Callithrix jacchus: one gene and its partner. The protein of the gene in region 2 purifies or fractionates together with the protein of the main gene of each other region. This does not show direct contact. Links are inferred from orthologs where the notes say so. Each region holds a gene or a part of one and is shown on either strand. Other genes may lie near its edges. The genes, in order: RIT1 and LZTR1.

Region 1 (10,508 bases), on a different chromosome or scaffold from region 2:
CAGGCTCATCATCAATACGGATCCTGATTTTATAAGCATCTTCTACAGGAGGGAAGAAAGGTGTACTATAAAGTCATAAATGCAGGAAGAAATGCCAATTTAAAACTCATTTTACAGAGTAGTAGATTCAACCCAAATTCATTAAATGCCCAAATTTTCTCAGGAAGCATGCCCAGCCTAATTCACTATATTCTAAATAATCGACAGTTTTGTAATTTCTCTTTTCTGAAAGCAAATTTCTTTATGTATATTATTATAGTAACCTTAGAAAACACCACTCAACATTTTATTCACTTAACAACTATTTACATCTCAATGTATTTCCTTTTAACATTTTTTCTTGAATTCTTGCTTCTGACTCTTCTTCAAAGATGAAGAGCCAACTAAATCAATGCTTCTCAATAATTCCTTAGGATTAGTGAGTTGTGAAATCTACTTAATGGGCTGAGACCAGCATTCAAATAAACAAGCAGAAACTTAATAAAAGTAGAAAATACCAGAGTGGGCTGGGCGTGGTGGCTCACGCTTGTAATCCCAGCACTTTGGGAGGCAGAGGAGGGAGGATCATGAGGTCAAGAGATCGAGACCATCCTGGCTAACATGGTGAAACCCCATCTCTACCAAAAATACAAAAATTAGTTGGGTGTGGTGGCGTACGCCTGTAGTCCCAGGTACTTGGGAGGCTGAGGTGGAAGGATCACTTGAACTCGGGAGGCGGAGGTTGCAGTGAGCCGAGACTGTGCCACTGCACTCCAGCCTGGCAACAGAGCAAGCCTCTGTCTCAGGAGAAAAAAAAAAAAAAGACCCACAGTGGGTCAGGTACAGGGGCTCTCATGGCTGTAATCCCAGTGCTTTGGGAGGGCAAGGGGAGATCACTTGAGCTCAAGAGTTCAAGACCAGCCTGGGCAACAGAGCGAGACCTCATGTCTACTAAAAAAAACAAAATTAGCTGGGTGTAGTGGCACAAGCCTGTAGTCCCAGGTATTTGGGAAGCTGAGGTGGGAGGATCACTTGAACCCAGGAGGTCCAGGCTGCAGTGAGCCAAGATCACACCACTGCACTCCAGCCTGGGCAACAGAGTGAATCCCTGCCTCAAAAGAAAGAAAAGAAAAAGAGGTTAAAGTTACGTAATATTTTAGTTACATATACACGTATACTTGTATATATAATTGTATATATAATTTAATACATACATATGCACACATTCATATACTTTTTTTTTTTTTTTGAGACAGAGTCTTACTCTGTTGCCCAGGCCGGAGTACAGTTGTGCGACCTTGGGTCACTGCAACCTCCACCTCCTGGGTTCAAGCAATTCTCCCACCTCAGCTTCCTGAGTACCTGGGATTACAGGTGTGTGCTACCACACCCAGCTAATTTTTGTATTTTTAGTAGAAATGGGGTTTCACCATGTTGGCCAGTATGGTCTCAAACTCCTGACCTCAGGTGATCTGCCCGCCTTGGCCTCCCAAAAGTAATGCGATTACAGGATTACAGGCATGAGCCACCACGCTAGGCCTTGTATGCTTTTATATCTCTACTAGTTATGATGTAAAGTTTTTCTGAGTATACAGCCAGAGTTTGAAACCAAATGCACTAAACTATAAACTCAAGAACAGAAACCGCATCTTTTTGTTCACCACTGTACCCACAGGCTAAGCAGTCCTTGGTACGTAACAGAAACTCAGAAGACATAAGTATGTGCTGTTGAGTCAGATAATATTGTCAGGAAAGTAGTTAACTGGGGGAAAATTGATTAAGACAGATAATTTGGGCTGGGCATGATGGCTCATGCCTGTAATCCCAGCATTTTGGGAGGCTGAGATGGATGGATCACGAGGTCAGGAGTTCGAGACCAGCCTGGCCATTATAGTGAAACCCTGTCTCTAATAAAAATATAAAAATTAGTTGGGCATGGTGGCAGGCACCTGTAATCCCAGCTATTCAGGAGGCTGAGTCAGGATGATCTTTGAACCCGGGAGGTGGAGGTTGCAGGGAGCAGAAATTGCACCACTGCATTCCAGCCTGGGCAACAATGTGAGACTATGTCTCAAAAACAAAAACAAAAACAAAAACAAGCTGGGCGCAGTGGCTCACGTCTGTAATCCCAGCACTTTGGGAGGCCGAGGCGGGTGGATCACGAGGTCAAGAGATCAAGACCATCCTGGTCAACGTGGTGAAACCCCGTCTCTACTAAAAATACAAAAAATTAGCTGGGCATAGTGGCGTGTGCCTGTAATCCCAGCTACTCAGGAGGCTGAGGCAGGAGAATTGCCTCAACCCAGAAGGTGGAGGTTGCGGTGAGCCGAGATCGCACCATTGCACTCCAGCCTGGGTAACAAGAGCAAAACTCCGTCTCAAAAAAAAACAAAAACAAACGTAACTCTTACAGGAGATGAGTATATGAGCTTTACTTTAAAGAAGGGAAAAGATGCTTCTGGAGTTCTCAAGTAAATTATCATAAGCCCTAAATTCATTTATTCCTAGAACTCCCACCATAATTTAAATCTCTGAACAATGTTCTAAATTTGATATAGTACATGAAAAAGTCAAGAACTTCTTCTATTTTTCCCAATCCCTGGAATCATCTAATGTATAAAATGACCACATCCAAGGCTGGGCCACCGCAAAACATTATCGGCTCTGTGGGAAACAGAGCAGCAGAGGCCTAACCCAATGGAAATCCTTCCTAGAGAACTAGGATCATGGCAAAGAGTGTCACATACTGAAAATAATAGTAGTATAGCTGACTTTCTGTGCCCTCTCCCATTCCCATATCCATTTTTCTGTCATATTAGAATATAAACTCTTAGGAGCACACCTGCTTCCTTATGGTTTAGGAATGACAGTAATGTCCTTACTCTTTGTAGAGACTAGCAATTAAAAAAACAAAAAGTCAGAGCAAACAAAATGACATTTTTACTCCACTAGCATTCTGCATCAAGAGTTAACGACTATCGACTGGGTGCGGTGGCTCATGCCTGTAATCCCAGCACTTTGGGAGGCCAAGATGGGTCGATCACCTGAGGTCAGGAGTTTGAGACCTGCCTGACCAACATGGAGAAACCTATCTCTGTTAAAAATACAAAGTTAGCCAGGAGTGGTGGTGCATGCTTTTAATCCCAGCTACTTGGGAAGCTGAGGTAGTAGAATCACTTGAACATGGAAGGCAGAGGTTGGAGTGAGCTGAGATCCTGCCATTGCACTCCAGCCTGGGCAAGAAGAACAAAACCCCATCTCAAAAAAAAAAAAAAAAAAAAGTTAAAGGCTATAAAAGACAGGAAGGCCGGGTGCAGTGGCTCATGCCTGTAATCCCAGCACTTTGGGAGGCCGAGGCAGGCAGATCATGAGGTCAGGAGTTCAAGACCAGCCTGGCCAACACAGTCAAACTCCATCTCTTAAAAATACAAAAAAATTAGGGCTGGGCACGGTGGCTCATGCCTATAATCCCAGCACTTTGGGAGGCTGAGGCAGGTGGATCACGAGGACAAGAGATCAAGACCATCCTGGTCAACATGGTGAAACCCCGTCTCTACTAAAAATACAAAAAATTAGCTGGGCATGGTGGCGTGTGCCTGTAATCCCAGCTGCTCAGGAGGCTGAGGCAGGAGAATTGCCTGAACCCAGGATGTGGAGGTTGCGGTGAGCCAAGATCGTGCCATTGCACTCAAGCCTGGGTAACAAGAGCGAAATTCCGTCTCAAAAAAATAAATAAGGGGCTGGGCGTGGTGGCTCACGACTATAATCCCAGCACTTTGGGAGGCCGAGGCAGGTGGATCACGAGGTCAAGAGATCGAGACCATCCTGGTCAACATGGTGAAACCCCGTCCCTACTAAAAATACAAAAATTAGCTGGGCATCGTGGCACACGCCTGTAGTCCCAGCTACTCAGGAGGCTGAGGCAGGAGAATTGCTTGAACCCAGAAGGCAGAGGTTGTGGTGAGCTGAGATGGCGCCATTGCACTCCAGTCTGGGTAACAACAGCGAAGCTCCGCCTCAAAAAATAAATACATAAATACATAAATAAATAAATAAAAATAAATAAAATTAACTGGGCAGTGGTGGTGGCAGGCACCTGTAATCCCAGCTACTCAGGAGGCTGAGGCAGGAGAATCTTGAACCCAGAAGAGATCATGCCACCGCACTCCAGCCTGGGTGACAGTGGGAGACTCTGTCTCAAAAAAAAAAAAAAAAAAGAAAAGAAAAAGATATGGGAGAAGGCATTACTATACGATGAACTTAAGATATAAGGAAGCAAATGAAGAGCTCCAAGTGCAAGACCTCCAGGCTCTGCTCATCTGGGTTGTCAGAGTTCAGCAGGCTGGCTCTACTTGTTTTTCTGCTTCCTTTTGTGGAAGTTCAAACCAGCTGACTCACAGTTACAGAGTCAGTCTCAAGTCATGCCCTTAGAGAAGTGACAGCAAGAAAAAGCTTCGTTAAGTGGCCTCTATACAACCATAAAAAAATACAACAAAGAGAGTTGTCCCATTAATGTTCAATAAGAGACAGAGACTAAATAAAGATGGCTTATGACATATAGAGTTAAGTCTGGAAAAAAAGAAATATTCACTTGCTTACCAACTGCTGATACCCTTGTTTCTAAATAAATCAGAATTAGACTCCAAAAAAAGGCTCAAAATATAAATAGTTAGAAACCATTGATATTAATTAAGATATTTTTATGGGGTAATTTGGAAACAGAGTGATGATCTTACTTACCAATGGTGGGATCATGATCTTCTGGGAATCGGTGACTGATGAACTGCATGGTCATGGCTTCAACACAAGACATAAAAGTCAAATCCTCACAAAGGTGACCCATAGAGAGAATTTTAAGTATTAACACTGCAAGATAGCCAGTATCCCATCTGATCATTTAAGTACTTTTCATCCATACTTCCTGTCAAATGGAAAATGTTACCTACCACTCTTCCCTACACCACCAGCACCCAGCATCACTAGTTTGTATTCCCGTGAGAGCCCAGGGGGGCTGCTGCAGCCGCTACCAACAGGGCGAGTTCCAGAATCCATTGTCCTCTTGGGGCCTTCCTGGGCTGCCCCGAGGAAAAGCCACCTAGAAAAGGAGGAGGAAATGCTTAATCCAGGATGGAGACACCACGGCGGCAGTCCTCAAACCAGTGCCTTACCTTTCCATACATACGCTGGCCTGTCCCTCTTGCTCACCGGAACTGCACCCTTTCTGGTGGCTCTAAGAAACCCCCCAAATCTTCACCCTCCCTCCTAGACAGTTCAGTCACATGACATATCACAGGTTTTACTTTTTCCAAGGAGAAACATAAAAAGATACAAAGAAATTTAGATCCCGGCACAGTAGGGATAAACCGAAAGTTTTGGGAAGAAAAGGATGCGGCCCCTTAAGCCACAGGGGTCCTCTCACGTCCGAGGTACCCGGAGGTTCCACCCCCTCCCCATTCTCCTCTGAGACCCATCCCGGCCCCCAGCTGCTCCTCCGCCACCAGACTCCCCACCCCTCTGCCTCACAAGCCGATGCCCTACTGCTCCTGCGGGTCAGTGGGGCCTGGAAGACCACGGCCTGTCGGGTCACCCACCTCGTCTTCCTTCCCTCGCAGAGGATCCAGTACTGACCTGTGACCCCTCCCGCAGCTGGGTAAGATGGCGCCACTGGCGCCCGTCGCTGATGGAGGGGCGGGGCCGCCCCATGACGCCCCACAGCCTGCCCCGCCTTCTTCCCGCCTCTTCCCATCCCTTCCCACCCCAGGTCCCTAAACCCAGTTCCGGGACTCACCGCTAAAGGCCTTCTGGTCACCTATCCAGCCTAGGGTGTATGCACACACAGACATGGGTAATCAGGAGTAGAAAGTAAATTATTTACACAAAACCAAAGAGTAAGTGATAACAGACATGCAGGGACACTAAAAACGTTAACAACTTACCCAGAGTTGTTTGCTGCTTGTGAAACAAAACGAAACTAATTTGGCATAATACAGTTAAGAGGAAGTGAGGAAAGGGGCACTCCCCAAATCCTCCTAACACAGGATTGGGATCAAGATAAATGCTTCATAGCAGAAAAATCACTTTCCCAAAGGAGCAGCCACAAAGACTTTGGCTATTGAAACCTCGATTCATTCTCAAAAACTAGATTTCACACTTCCTAACCAGAGTTCTATATTTTAAACACATATAAGATACACAAAACCTTGTTTTAAACAGACTATTTAGGTAGCACAGATGCTAGAAGAAACTGACAATGGAAAATTGTTCTGATGCAGCTCTGTCCACAACTGTTTTATCATCCCCCACCCTCGCTCCCACAACTGTTATTTTTAAATGTCTTTCTGGGCCAGGTACGGTGGCTAACGCCTGTAATCCCAGCACTTTGAGAGGCCAAGGCAGGTGGATCACAAGATCAAGAGATCAACTATCCTGGCCAAAATAGCGAAACCCCCCCTCGACTAAAAATACAAAAAAATTAGCAGGGCATGGTGGCACATGCCTGTAGTCCCAATTACTCACAGGAGGTGGATGTTGCAGTGAGCCTAGATCGAGCCACTGCACTCCACCCTTGCAACAGGGCAAGACTCGGGTTTCCAAAAAAAAAAGTCTTTCTGGGCGGATCACTTGAGGTCCAGAGCTCGAGACCAGCCTGGCCAATATGGTGGAATCCTGTCTGTACTAAAAATACAAATTAGCCAGGCATGGGGTAGGTACCTGTAATCTCAGCTACTCAGGAGGCTGACATTGGAGAATCACTCGGGAGGCAGAGGTTGCAGTGAACCAAGGCTGCACCATTGCACTCCAGCCTAGCCGACACAGCAAGACTCCATCTCAAAAAATAAAAAGGCTTTCCAAGAGTAATCTATTTCCTTTAAAATCTGCTTCATTCACTGGGCGAGGTAGCTCACACCTGTAAATCCCAACACTTTGGGAGGCTGAGGGCAGATCACCTGAGGTCAGGAGTTGGAGACTAGCCTATCCAATTGGAGAAACCCCATCTCTATAAAAATACAAAATTAGTGGGGCATGGTGGCTTGCACCTGTAATCCGAGCTACTCAGGAGGCTGAGGCAGAATTGCTTGAACCTGTGAGTCAGAGGTTGCAGTGAGCCAAGATTGCGCCATTGCACTCCAGCCTGGGTAACTAGAGTGAAACTCCGTCTCAAAAAAAATAAATAAAACAGGGCCAGGTGTGGTGGCTCACGCCTGTAATCCCAGCACTTTGGGAGGCCAAAGCACGTGGATTATGAGGTCAGGAGTTTGAGACCAGCCTAACATGGTGAAACCCCGTCTACTAAAAATACAAAAATTAGCTGGGTGTGGTGGCGCGTGCCTGTAATCCCAGCTACTCAGGAGGCTGAGGTGAGAATCGCTTGAACCCAGGAGGCAGAGGTTTCAGTGAACCAAGATCGTGCCACTGCACTCTAGCCTGGGCAACAGAGCGAGACTCCATCTCAAAAATAAAATAAAATAGGCTTCATTCATGAAGTCTTTTTTTTTTTGAGACGGAGTTTCACTCTTGTTACCCAGGCTGGAGTGCAATGGCACGATCTTGGCTCACCGCAACCTCCGCCTCCTGGGTTCAGGCAATTCTTCTGCCTCAGCCTCCTGGGTAGCTGGGATTACAGGCACGCGCCACCACGCCCAGCTAAGTTTTTTGTATTTTTAGTAGAGACGGGGTTTCACCATGTTGACCAAGATGGTCTCAATCTCTTGACCTCGTGATCCACCCACCCTGGCCTCCCTAAGTGCTGGGATTACAGGTGTGAGCCACCACGCCCGGCCCATGAAGTCTCTTTAACAGTCTGTTTAATTAAGGAGGGCTAAAATATGAAAATGGAACTTTAAGTGTACATTTTGCAGTTACAGAACTCTCGGAACTAAATGTAAATCTTGGGGTCTGTATATGTATTTTTCTGATATTATATTGCATTAGGCTATGAGTAAACAAGTTTATGAATTTTAGTGTATGGATGGGTTGTGGAAGAAAACAGAGAAACCGCAAACAGAATATTTATACATTTATTTATAATGAAATTATGGTCTCAATATTTACAACATATAGGAAACCAGAGGGTAAGTTTATACAAAGCCAGCCTGCAAAGTATTCAAATGTGCAAAAATGACAGTTCAGTATCTCAAACTACTCCTGGTTCAGCAGACTAGCTCCTTCACTTTCACACATCAAGATTTGATACAAAAAAGTTCTTTTGGCAAAACCTGTAATGCCAAGAAAAAGGACAAGTTGCAATTTCAGTCATTAAGTCCAAAGTCCTACTGCAGGCAGTCAGATCTCTCCATTTTAGCTGCAAACAGTTCTGAGAGAGACAGACTACTGTGTTTCATTTGTGTGATGAGTTCTGACCAGTTCTAGTCAAGAATTCTTGTTTTCTCTGACCCAGCTGAAGACAGGATCTTAGAAGGGCAATAAAAACAGCAATGGCTATAAGACAAATGTGTCTGAAGGTGCCGGCTTTGGATCACCCCAATTAAAAAACACAATGAAAAAAATAACTTCATTTTCCTATCCAGGATCCAGCTATATCCAACAGTTTTAAATGAGACAGCATTTTCCAAAACAGAAATAATCCAAAACAAAACAGGGATGCAGATCTGTCAGAATTAAATACCAAAAAGAACGGTCTAAAATCATTTCCCATTAATAAACAGTAAGGCTTTGTAACCAGTTATGTATCAAAATTGACCAAACAGTACTAAAATACAAATAAAACTTTCTTTAAGTCAGAATTGGGGCTATTCATTTGGAAGAGGCTGGACCAGGTCAAACGTGTATGGGAACGACCCTGTTTTAGGACGCTTTGTTGGACAAGCACGTTTCACCAACTGTTAAAAAGCTTCTGAGATAAATTTATGATTCTAATTAAATTTTAAGATTCTATGCCACCGCAGAAATAAGGATTTTTTTTTTTAAGGAACCCCTTTAAGAAAGGGGGCATTGAATCTCTAACTTCTGCAAAGATCCAAGATGGTTCCCAGCACAGGCCCCAGAGTCTTGTTAAATCAAATGCATGCATTATTGCTAAGAAGAGTCACCGAGGGTCAAAACTCTGTTCCACAGTTTCCTAGGGAGCCATCCAGAATGGCATCTGTTGTTTAGCTCGTGGTTGTGATGAAGGATACTGGTATCCCAAACTCCAGCCCTGTGGAAAACTACTTGCATTTTTATGACCTCCATGTTCCTCCTCTTCATCAGATGAATCTGCAGCATAAGCCACCAAGCCAAATCCCTTCTCTGTAGTTTTCATCTTCTTGGCTGGATAATCTAGAATAGAGAAAAACAACCCCAACCCCATCCCCACCAAGGGAAAAAAAAAAAAACAACAAAAAAAGATAATACCATAAATTCGTTAATAAAAAAAAGATGTTAATTTTAAGTGGTTAGTTGGACACCATTTTGAGGTCATAGGGTCAGTGGTCGCCCAAAACCGTTGAAGATCACACGAAAAACAGCACCGGCATCAGCAAATGTGAATCCACCAGAACCATGTAAGAAAACAGAGAAAGAAAAAAGAAACACAAAAAAAAGAAAAAAGAAAAAAAGGAAAGTTAGCAAGTGAGTCTCTTGAGGGCTGATATTTCACCTTTTAAAGAGTTAAAAGAAAAGAAGAAAAGAAAAAAACGTGAATTTTCTTCTGTTCATTTTTATGACTACAGGCAAAGAACAAAAATATTCCATATCCGTCTATAGGATTTAGAGTTCTGGGATGCTAAAAAGCAGTACTTTCCTAACAGCCACAGATTGACCAAGAGAACTATAAGGGGAGGTGTGGCTCAGCTCCCAATACAAAGCAAAATCAACTTTTAGGAAGTCCGTATCAGATTAACTCCAGGTATTCACACAACATAGGCAACAGGATTTTGATATGACCTAGCACTCATTAGTATTCCCTAGGGTTTTAATGTCACTGATGCTATGTATAAAATAAGTTGACTAGCCCTTTCCTAGACGCATGTTGGTTGGAATAAATGGTTGTCCATATACAAGTTTTTTTCACTATTTTCTTTTTTAGTTGAGACAGTCTCAATCTGTTGCCCATGCTGGAATGCAGTGTTGTGATCTTGACTTACTGCAACTTCTACTTCCCAGGTTCAAACGATTCTCCTGCCTCAGCCTTCCAAGTCACTGGGATGACAGGCACATACCACCAAGCTGGCTAATTTTTCTATTTTAGTAGAGACGGAGTTTCTCTGTGTTAGCCAGGCTGGTCTCAAACTCCTGACCTCAGGTGATCCGCCTGCCTCGGCCTCCCAAGTGCTGGGATTACAGGCGTGAGCCACCGTGCCTGGCCCAAAAGTATTTTCATTAGCCAGTAGATTATAGAGGTTGGATTAAACACCTGAATGAATATCAGGTTAGAAAACTAATCCCAGCTTTATTTATTAATTTATTTTTGAGACAGAGCCTCACTCTATTGCCCAGGCTGGAGGGAAGTGGTATGATCTTGGCTCACTGCAACCTCCAACTCCCAGGTTGAAGTGATTCTCCTGCCTCAGCCCCCTAAGTAGCTGGGA
Region 2 (10,009 bases):
AATATCCGCAGCGGGGAGATGTACAGGTTCCAGGTGTGGGGCCTGTGGGCCTGCAGGGCCAGCTGGGTGGACAGGTCCCCATGATGGAAAACAGGCCAAGTGGCGGGGGGCGGGCGGGACTTACCCAGACTGTTGCCAGAGCCATACCTGGCAGGATGGAAGCCTTGGGAGGAGCCGTCTGGGCTGAGGGCAGGCTGAGGTGGCACTAAAGTGGGCAGCCTCTGTGCAGAGTGGGGCAGGTGAGTGGTGCTGGGGCTCATGGCAGAGGCAGTGGAGGGAGCTGGGCCAAGCTGGGCTCAGCACTGGAGCCTCACAGGCATCACAGCCTGGCCCAGGGCTGACAGTGGCTTGTGTTGACAGTCCCTTCCCAGGCCTGGAGGAGCAAGTGGTCAGGGCAGGGACTCACAGCCACAGTGAGGTCAGGGCGGCTTCCTGGAGGAGACTGGGGTGTGCTGGTGGGGGCCAGCATGCGGACACGGGTCCAGGCAGAGTGGAGGCAGCAGAACTCTACTGGGGCCTAACAGAAGGTGGGACTGGTGGGGGAGCCCCTTACCTGCTATGGGGCCATGGACAGTTGCAGGTGCCCAGGCTGAACCCAGGCCATCGCTTCAGGGTGGGGTGGCGGCTGCTTTCTCTCCTTAAGGTGCATCTGCCTCCTGTGCCCTGAGGGTCAGCATGGGCCAGGTAGGGACCTCAGGGTCAGCCTGCGTGGCTATACTGAGGCCACTCTGCCGACCTCAACATCTGGCCTCACTGGGCCCCTCCTGCAGTTCTCCTGTTATCCTAAATGCACGCTGCACGAGGACTATGGGCGGCTGTGGGAGAGCCGTCAGTTCTGCGACGTGGAGTTCGTGCTGGGTGAGGTGGGTGCCTGTCCTCGTGCCCTGCTCCGCCTGCTGTGCCCAGGCAGTGGGAACTTCAGCCCTCAGAAAAACAGCTGCTGGCCCAGTGGTGCCGACCCTGGTCAGCTGGGTCTCTGTTCTCTGGGGTGAGGGTCCCCTGCCTTCTGCCCATGCATCATTCTTTGTGCAGAAGGAGGAGTGCGTGCAGGGCCATGTAGCCATTGTCACAGCGCGGAGCCGCTGGCTTCGCAGGAAGATCACGCAGGCACGGGAGTGGTTGGCCCAGGTGAGGTGCTCACCTGCCCTGTCTTCACCTGACAGCCATGCCTGTTGTCCACTGGGGTGCCCTTGAGCTCCCTTCTCCCCACAGAAGCTGGAGCAGGAGGCCACCCCAGTTCCCAGGGAGGCCCCCAACATGGCTTCGGGTGGGGCCCGGCCGCCCCTGCTGCACGTGGCCATCCGGGAGGCCGAGGCCCGGCCCTTTGAGGTGCTCATGCAATTCCTCTACACCGACAAGATCAAATACCCACGGAAAGGTCCGTCTGGGTGGGGGTGGAGCAGGATTGGTATGGGTTGGGGTGTGGGCAGCAGAGCCAGGAGGTGGGTGCTGCTAACCCTGCCTTACTGATGGGGCCTGAAGCTCGGAGGCTGCGGTGATGAGTGGCACCCTCATCACTCATGATCACTGCAGCTGGTTGCCATCTGAGGCCCCTGAGACCTTGTTCCCACCTGGTGGCCCCAACCCACATTCTTTCATGGGGGGAGCCCTGGGCCCTGGGCCCCACCCTCCCCTTCCTGGCTCCCTGAGACTTGGGGGCTCTGGAGCGCAGGCCACGTGGAGGATGTGCTGCTCATCATGGATGTGTACAAATTGGCGCTGAGCTTCCAGCTGTGCCGCCTGGAGCAGCTGTGCCGCCAGTACATCGAGGCCTCCGTGGACCTGCAGAACGTGCTGGTCGTGTGCGAGAGTGCCGCCCGGCTGCAGCTGAGCCAACTCAAGGTGTGGGGTGAGGTCAGCGCGACCAGGGCTGGGTGGGGTGTGCTCAGGTCTAGGCCCCCTCCCTGCCTACCACTGTGAGTCCCTCACCCTGCCTGAAGCCCTGGCTTGACCCCACCTGCCTGCCTGTGCCTGTCTGCCCAGGAGCACTGTCTGAACTTCGTGGTGAAGGAGTCCCACTTCAACCAGGTGATCATGATGAAGGAGTTCGAGCGCCTCTCCTCCCCACTGATTGTGGAGATTGTGCGGCGGAAGCAGCAGCCGCCTCCTCGTACTCCCTCGGACCAGCCGGTGGACATTGGTAGGAAGCCCCATTCCCCTTCCCTGGGGGCTGGGAGTGATGGTGTTCATCTGTGGCAGGAGACTTGGGAGCCGTAGCACCTGCCAGGCCCTTGGGGTGGGTGCCATGGGACCCCAGAGTGCTCTCCTGGGTATAGGGCAGAAACAGATAGAGGCAGAAGCCCCTGACCCATGGGGCTTGCCACAGTGGGCTGTGTCCTGGTGAGCTGGAATTTCCTGAGCTGATTTCTGGGGGTGGATATGGGGCACCTCTTTCGGGATGTCAGGTCTGATGGCCCAGTCACAATGATCAATCTCTGGACTTTTTGCTTGTAATGTCACAGGCCCCTTCATTCCCCCAGCTCTCCCTGGGGCCTGTGCTGACCCCAGTTGCTGGCTCTTGGTGACATCTGCAGACAACAGAAGCCATGCGGTGGGCCTGGAGGGGGATTGATCATGAGGGCAGCAAGGGGGCACAGCAGGCTGGGTGGAAGATGAGATGCTGGGAGGAGGACTGTGTGTGGGGTGCTCGAGTCGGCCAGGGTGCCAAGGGAGGACAGAATGTGGCTGATGGTGCCTCAGGGCCAGAGTGAAGCCTCCTGCCTGCATGAAGTTTTGTTTAGGGAAGCAACATGGGCAGATGTGCAGGAAGGTAGTGCTGTGGGGCCTCAAGACCAGAATCCCAGGCTGTACCTGCTCAGGGTCCCTCCCACCCCCAGGCACGTCTCTCATCCAGGACATGAAGGCATACCTAGAGGGGGCAGGTGCAGAGTTCTGTGACATCACATTGTTGCTGGATGGGCACCCACGGCCGGCCCATAAGGCCATCCTGGCCGCCCGCTCCAGGTGGGTAGGGCTGGATAGGAGGGGAGGGTGGGCCTGAATGGTGTCTTCATTTCGCTGAGAGCCGGATGTCTTCCACTTGCTGTCTGCAGCTACTTTGAAGCCATGTTCCGGTCCTTCATGCCCGAGGATGGGCAGGTGAACATCTCCATCGGGGAGATGGTGCCCAGCAGGCAGGCCTTCGAGTCCATGCTGCGCTACATCTACTATGGAGAGGTCAACATGCCACCTGAGGACTCGCTGCATCCTCATGCCCCAGGGAACTCCCAGATCCCCACTGACAGGTCCCAGCACCTGCCTTGGGCAGCTTTGAGGCCCCCTGGGTGCCTCAGCACCTCCCTCCAGAGGATTTGCTGGTGCCTGGGGCGGGGCCTGGTGCTCTCTGAAGCAGGTGGCAGCTGGCAGGGAGGGGTTTGCAGCCAGGAGGAACCAGTGGGTTCCTGACCCTCACAATTGCCCAGAGGATGGGGTGGGTTATTGCTTTGTGTGACAGTTGAGCACAGATGTGGTGCTACTAGTCTTATGTCACTTCAGTAGGGGTCTGAACATGGGGGGTCAGGATGCCTGTTAGGCCTTCAAGGTCATGGAACAGTGCTGCAGATGTGCAGACAGTATCTTTCTAGGGAGGGGATTTGCGGTTTTCTTTGGATCTTGAATGAGACCTTTGATCCACTAAGTAATTCAGAATCCATTTAGAGAGCCTGCTGTCGTCTGGGCTGGATTGGAGCGTGGCCTCTAGTGAGCTTGGGACTCCAGCTGTGCGCCTCCCTGTCCTTCCCTGGGAGGGTGTGGGTGGACCAGCTTCCTTTGGTCAGCTCCTTAACCAGGCCCCAGCTACCTGTTTGCGGCCCCCTACTATTACGGCTTCTACAACAACCGGCTGCAAGCGTACTGCAAGCAAAACCTAGAGATGAACGTGACAGTGCAGAATGTGCTGCAGGTAGCCTCCCAGCCCTGTGCCCATGGCTGCAGCTGCTAGTGAGCGGGGGTGAAAGGGGCAGCACCTCAAGGTCCCTGTCGTTGCAGATCCTGGAGGCGGCTGACAAAACCCAGGCACTGGACATGAAGCGGCATTGCCTGCACATCATCGTGCACCAGTTCACCAAGGTCGGGGCTCTGGCCTCCCCTTCAGGACTTGCTTCCTCTTGGTAGTGACCATGCCTGGGCAGGGAGGCGTGCCCAGGCTCTGTGGTCTCCTGCAGTTGTGGGCCCTGGGAGTGAGCGAAATACGAGTAGCTCCCAACTGGCTGCACTTAGCCCCATCCTCGGGACCAGCCTGAGCCCTGAGCAGGGTGGGCCATAGAAGGCTCTGCTGCCCACCCTGGCCCTTATGTGGATCTGGTACCATCTCCTTCTGGCCTGGTTGCCTTGCAGGTCTCCAAGCTGCCCACGCTGCGGTTGCTGAGCCAGCAGCTGCTGCTGGATATCATAGACTCCTTGGCCTCCCACATCTCTGACAAGCAGTGTGCGGAGCTGGGCGCCGACATCTGAGACCCTGTGGCGCCTACCCAGTGTGACGAATTGCCATGCCTGCCTGCCCTGCCCACTAAGAAGACTGTACTGGCCACACACGTGCCTATGGCAGAGTGGGTGCACCTGCCAGGCCAAGGGCACCCAGAGCCTCCAAAGAGAGCTGAGGGGATGTGTGGCCCCAGATGCCTCAATTTACCGAGGACACAGGTTCCACAGGGAGCGGATGATGAAGCAGACCCCGTCCCCTGCTGGCACCCTCTCCTGGTGTAGTGTGGGTGCACGGTCACGGCTCAGTGATGGGGACACCAACCAGAAGTGGGGAGGGATGGGCTTCCCACCCTGTGGAGCTCGGCCTGGCGTCCGAAGCTTGGGTGTATTGTAGACCCAAGCACTGGGGCCTGTCACTAAGGCCCTTCCAACATGCAGAAGGAGGCCTGGCAGAATTGCCCCTACACCAGGGAATCTGTCTGGGCTACTCCTGCCCTGTCCACCCTCACTGAGATCCATGTAAGGGGCTCTTCCTCCCATTGGAACTTGAGTGGGGATTATATGTAGGTCTCACATGACTTGAGGTGAATCTTGGAGTGAAGGGCTCTGAGGTCAGCTCCCAGGTTGGCTGGGCCTGATTTTCACAGGGACTGAAGGATCCCAGCCCCACTGTGTGCATGTCAGGGCTCAGGGCTGGGCCAGGAAGAAGCCAGCAAAGTCCCCTGTGTCCCTCACTGAGTATTCTGTCATAGATAAGCCTTGATTAAAGCCACAGCAGTGCTACCCACCACATACACTTTGCTGGCCTGGCCACCATTGCTGGCCTCAGCCCCTCAGCCTGCCTGCAGCCAAGGACTGGCTCTGTGGCCCATGGCTTGGCAGACCTCCAGATGTAGGTTAGTTGGTCTTACCTGTTTCTAGCTATGCTGTCAACTCCTTTCTCAACCTGGGGTGACCCGGTCACACTGGAGAGAAGAGCTGTGGAGGCCTCCAAGCTGGCCCCTCCCGGGGGAATCCTGGAGTGGGCTCCTGCCCTGTCTTGCCTCTGTACTGTGCTCTTGGCTGCTGTGGTAGGTGGGCTGCCCTCTTGCCCTAGTGAGGACCACATGTGAATCCACTCTGATGCTGGGGAACCAGTGTTCCCTTACTGGGAACAGGATTCCAGGACCCCTTTTTTGGTCATGGCTGCCATGAAGCCATAGCTCACCTTGGGGAAGTGACCTGCTCTTTTCTGGCTTTAGAGTTCATTTTCCTCCTTTGCCTGTGGCTGTGTGCACATGTATGGGGGGCCCTGAGTGGCAAGTTGCTTAGCTAACAGGAGAAATCCATAGGCAGCCCACAGGCTAGGAAGTGGCCTGGTCCAAGATGAGCTGGGAAACAAGGGAGAGCAGGAGCAGGGGCAGGGGCAGAGGCTGAGCCAAAAGGCCCTGTTGTGAGGACACAGAAGCCCAGGGCTATGGCTGGTGGTGGGGGGGATTATGTCAACACATGGAAGTAGAGTGCAGACCAGGGCAGCCAGCCAAGGGGGCCAGGTGTGAGTCACTCAGTGGGGTCACAGAACCACCTACCATTTCCACAAGATGTCTCTTGCCACTCCTACAGGGCAGCTTCCTCCAAACCCCTTCTGGAGGGGCCAGCCCAGAAGCCTCCTTGAACTAGTCTGCAAACCCTGCTCTACGCTGACCTTGTCACTGAACCCTCAATTGTCTTTTCTAGACATGATGTGAATAAATGAAATTACATGTGAAGGGTCCTAAAAAGCAAATTTTACAAAAATTTTTTGGCAGTTTCTGGGACTAAAATGAATTCAGTTGTGTTCCTTGGCAGGGAAAGGCCAAACTTGCAGTGAGAATCATCCCACGCATGGAGCTGTTTGAGAATCAGCTGTGACAAGGCCTTCCAGGTTTCTGGGAGTTGAAGGAAAAGGATGCTGAGGCCAGGACCCAAGTGCTTGTCTACAAGTTCTAGCCACCTCTTCCCAGACTTCCAGGGACTAGAAATGTCACTTGGGTCTTCACTACTTGCTGGCGTGCCCCAGGAGGCTGATCATTGTCATTGTCCGTTTTTTTTTTCTTTTTTTTTTTGAGATGGAGTTTCCCTGTTGTTACCCAGACTGGAGTGCAATGGCACAATCTCGGCTCACTGCAACCTCCGCCTTCTGGGTTCAAGCAATTCTCCTGCCTCAGCTTCCCAAGTAGCTGGGACTACAGGTGCGCACCACCATGCCCAGCTAACTTTTATATTTTTAGTAGAGACGGGGTTTCACCATGTTGACCAGGATGGTCTCGATCTCTTGACCTCGTGATCCACCCGCCTCGGCCTCCCAAAGTGCTGGATTATAGGCGTGAGCCACCGCGCCCGGCCCCGTTTTTCAAATAGAGACAGCAGTGAAGGGAGCAGCGAGGGGGTTGCCCTGTTTACCCACCAGGCAGATGAAGTCTGTGGACAAGCCTGTCATGCACCTGTTTGAGAACTGAATCCAGACTGGGTTTTAGGAGTGTTCTCAAAGGGGCTGGCTGACTTAAATTGGGGCTGTTTCAGATCCTGTGGAAGGGGTGCCTTGAACTGCTTTCCTGGCCCCTACTCACAACATCCTGCCCCCTACTCACAACATCCTGCCCCTTCAGAAAACTGTGGGGCATGGAGCTGCAATGGCTGGCTGCTACCGGTCTACCAGAAGCTCTGAGGGGTGAAAGCCAGGCTTTCTGCTCTCCCTGGCGAAGAGCTTGGACTGAGCTCTTCTGAGAGCAGAGCTGAGAGTGAGCCCTCTGGGAGCTGCAGCCACTGTCTGGGGGCAGCAAGCTTAGTACCCAGAGGGGCTCCAGCCCCCAGCTGAGCCAGACAGCAGGGCCTCCTTCTAGAATCCACTTTATTATGGCACCTGGTGGTTATGGTGGATTCTGAGGGAGAAGGAGGCTGCACCCTTGCTAGGCAGCCCCTCGGTCAGTCCAGTGGCCCCTCCCTCAGGCTATGCTGTTGCTCAGCTGCATGGCAAAGTCCTGTACATGCTCCTTCAGAGTCTGGCGGGCATCTGCCTGTGCCCGCTTCTCCCGTGCCCGCTCCTGCTGCAGCTTGGTCAGTCTCAGCCGCAGCCGCTGCTCCCGTCGCTTGCAGGCCTGCAGCTGGCGCTGGGCCTTGTCGAGGGCATCAAGAGCTGCCTCAGCTCGCCGCTTCCAGAGCAAGGCGCTGCCCACCTGGTAGCTGTGTTCATTCTGGATGTAGGCTCCGGCGGGTGGCGGCAGGCGCAGCATGTAGGCTGAGGGGGAGACTGGCCGTGGCTCGAGAGGGGAGGGCTGTGGCTCTGGTGAAGGCTGGGCACTGCAGCCTGCTTCATCTGCCTGGGCACCCAGGGGGCCCAGAAGGTCTGAAAAGGGGCTGCTAAGGCCAGGCTCCAGCCTCCCAGCTGGGGAGGCTGGCAAAGTGGCAGGTGCTGAGGCCTCTTCCACAGGAAAGCAGGTGACATCAGCAGGTGGAGGTGGAGAAAATGGAGTTGTGGGCCCTCGGCCCTCGGAGCAGCTGGTAAGGGGGAAGAGAGAGGCTGATGGGCTAGGCTGAGGGCCTGCCAGACCCCACTCCACCAGCCCACCTAACCCCCCAACACCCAAACCTGATCCACAGGTTCTGTGCAGCAAGAACCCTGTCCGGCTAGACTGCTGGCAGATGACCCAGAGCCCAGTCCCTTGGCCTAGGGGTGGGAGTGGGGCTTTCCCCACCAGTACCACATACCGCTTCCTGCATCGCCTGAGCCGGGTGACTTCAGTGGGACCAGATGGGTAACTGTGCCCCTTGGTCTTGGATGTCCGGCGCAACTTGGAGAAAGACTCGAATATGGTGGGGACTGCTCCCTCCTTTAGCCTGTGATACCCGCTGTGGGGAAAAGCAGCCCAGATGAGCTGGAGAGCAAGTGCTGCCTCCCCGAGCCAATGTACCCCCGGCACCCTGGAACAGCTTCCCCAGCACTAGCGCCGTGGGAGGCTGGAAAGCATCGTGCAAACAGTAAGTCTCAGGGATGCCAAGTTAGAGCTACACCAATCGCTTCCCTGCAGTACTCCTCAAAGTCGAGGTGTGTGGAAAGCCTGCACAAGCAGAGCTGGGCTGACCTGCCAAAAAGAATTCTTTGATTTGTGGACTCGCTGGCAGGACTGGGGCTCTGAAGAACACTCTCTGGAAAGGCTCATGTTTTTCCCTTGTGTCACTGGCAGTGATCCTGGGGGAGGGTTTCATTGTACAGAGCTCGGAAGAGGATACAGACCCCTTGGAAGCAGGTCGGCCTGCCTGGCAGGCTGCTCAAGGGACTTCCAGGACCTGCAGCTGCCCCAATCCGCCTGAAGCTCCACATCCTACCCCAATGTTGGCTGGCAGGGAGGCCCACCTGATTCCCACCAGCTCAAAGCAGTTCTCCTCAAAGTGTTTGGAGCAGAAGTAGATGTACTCGGATGCTGGGTCCCACAGGCCCTGGCCGCTGGGGTCCAGCCGCTGGCAGTTGGCCAGCCACAAGCCTCGCCTCGGGTTGTCCTTCTTGGGAAGTCTGTGGAGCCACAAACCCATGAGCAGTAGACTGTCCGCAGCCCTGGGCTCATGCTGCCCAAGCTCCCCGCTGGGGAAAAGCAGACCCAACACGCACCGCCACGAGACCTCCCTGCGACCCCGCCGGGTAAGCACCACCCGCCCGGGCACAGACGAAGCAATGGAGGCCTAGAGAAGAAAAGCAGTTTGCTCAGCGTCATCTGGCAGGTAAGAGTCAGAGCGGGGCAGGTCCGAGGCTAGACTTCCCGTTCTCCCCTTCCCGACAGCACTTGGTCCCACTGGGACCATCCCGCTTCACTTCCCACCCACAGGTTCAAGGTTCCTCAGGACCCGAGAAAGGCGCGAAGCGTCTACACAGTTGCGGCCCAACGAGGCGCGCAGCAACCAGCGCATGCGCACGTCAGCCCGCGCACGCGCGCCGACCTGTGGAAGGAGATGCCGCGGCTGCGCGTCTCGCGCGTGTCCCGTGTGCAGCAGCCGGCGGCGGAGCAGTGACGCGGCATCTAGGGAAGAGGCGGGAGTTAAGTCGCGAGTGGCTGTCTGGGGATCCAGAGGAGCCTCGCGCCTTCAGCCGCCGCTCCTCCCCAGGGGGGTTCTGGCCCGTGGAGTCTACCCCGGCTCCCGGCTTGTTCTCGCCCCACCCAGTCCCAGCCGGTTCTCTAGACTCCCGTCAGCAGCACTCACGATCTGTCCATTGCTGCGCCGCCGAAGTCTCGCGAGGGGTGGCGCGCGCCGGAAGTTGGTACCATAGAGACTGGAAAGTCGGCGGTGCTCCGCCCTTAGGGCGGGGCGGGGCGGGGCGAAGTCCTATTGAGTTGGATTCGGAAGCGGTGCGAGCGTGCGAGTTCTAGTCGCGCCTGCGTCGTCTCCGTTCCCAGACTACCAGTGTTGTCACACACGTGGGCTCCTCTTTCGTCCGTTCAGGGCTCACTCTTCTCTGTAAACACCCCGGCACGATGGAGCGACCCCAGTGTACGGGTCGGCCTGGGAGCGGATGGCGGCGGTGCCCTGGGAACCTCGAAAGCCGCGGGGGCGACAGCTCGCCTCGGAAAGACTTGAC

The links.
Region 1: the proteins of LZTR1 (region 2) and RIT1 purify together in Homo sapiens (affinity purification with mass spectrometry; 3 studies listed by BioGRID and IntAct, counting the BioPlex papers as one, with this or other methods). This does not show direct contact. The link is inferred for Callithrix jacchus from reciprocal best matches to the Homo sapiens genes LZTR1 and RIT1.

The regions. Positions count from the first base shown.
Region 1 is NC_133519.1:16,272,510-16,283,017, forward strand, and holds the start of RIT1 (GTP-binding protein Rit1), read right to left. Parts: upstream 5,656-10,508; 5' UTR 5,156-5,655; coding exon 5,148-5,155; intron 5,075-5,147; coding exon 4,926-5,074; intron 4,777-4,925; coding exon 4,720-4,776; intron 43-4,719; coding exon 1-42. Other genes in the region: KHDC4 (KH homology domain-containing protein 4), read right to left, coding at 9,059-9,258.
Region 2 is NC_133502.1:193,119,471-193,129,479, reverse strand, and holds the end of LZTR1 (leucine-zipper-like transcriptional regulator 1), read left to right. Parts: coding exon 1-33; intron 34-770; coding exon 771-863; intron 864-1,032; coding exon 1,033-1,128; intron 1,129-1,212; coding exon 1,213-1,378; intron 1,379-1,672; coding exon 1,673-1,842; intron 1,843-1,983; coding exon 1,984-2,140; intron 2,141-2,462; exon of another isoform or gene 2,463-2,551; intron 2,552-2,837; coding exon 2,838-2,964; intron 2,965-3,053; coding exon 3,054-3,203; intron 3,204-3,795; coding exon 3,796-3,901; intron 3,902-3,987; coding exon 3,988-4,068; intron 4,069-4,335; coding exon 4,336-4,452; 3' UTR 4,453-6,182; downstream 6,183-10,009. Other genes in the region: THAP7 (THAP domain-containing protein 7), read right to left, coding at 7,386-7,938, 8,149-8,289, 8,795-9,117, 9,259-9,342. UniProt on the Homo sapiens protein: Substrate-specific adapter of a BCR (BTB-CUL3-RBX1) E3 ubiquitin-protein ligase complex that mediates ubiquitination of Ras (K-Ras/KRAS, N-Ras/NRAS and H-Ras/HRAS).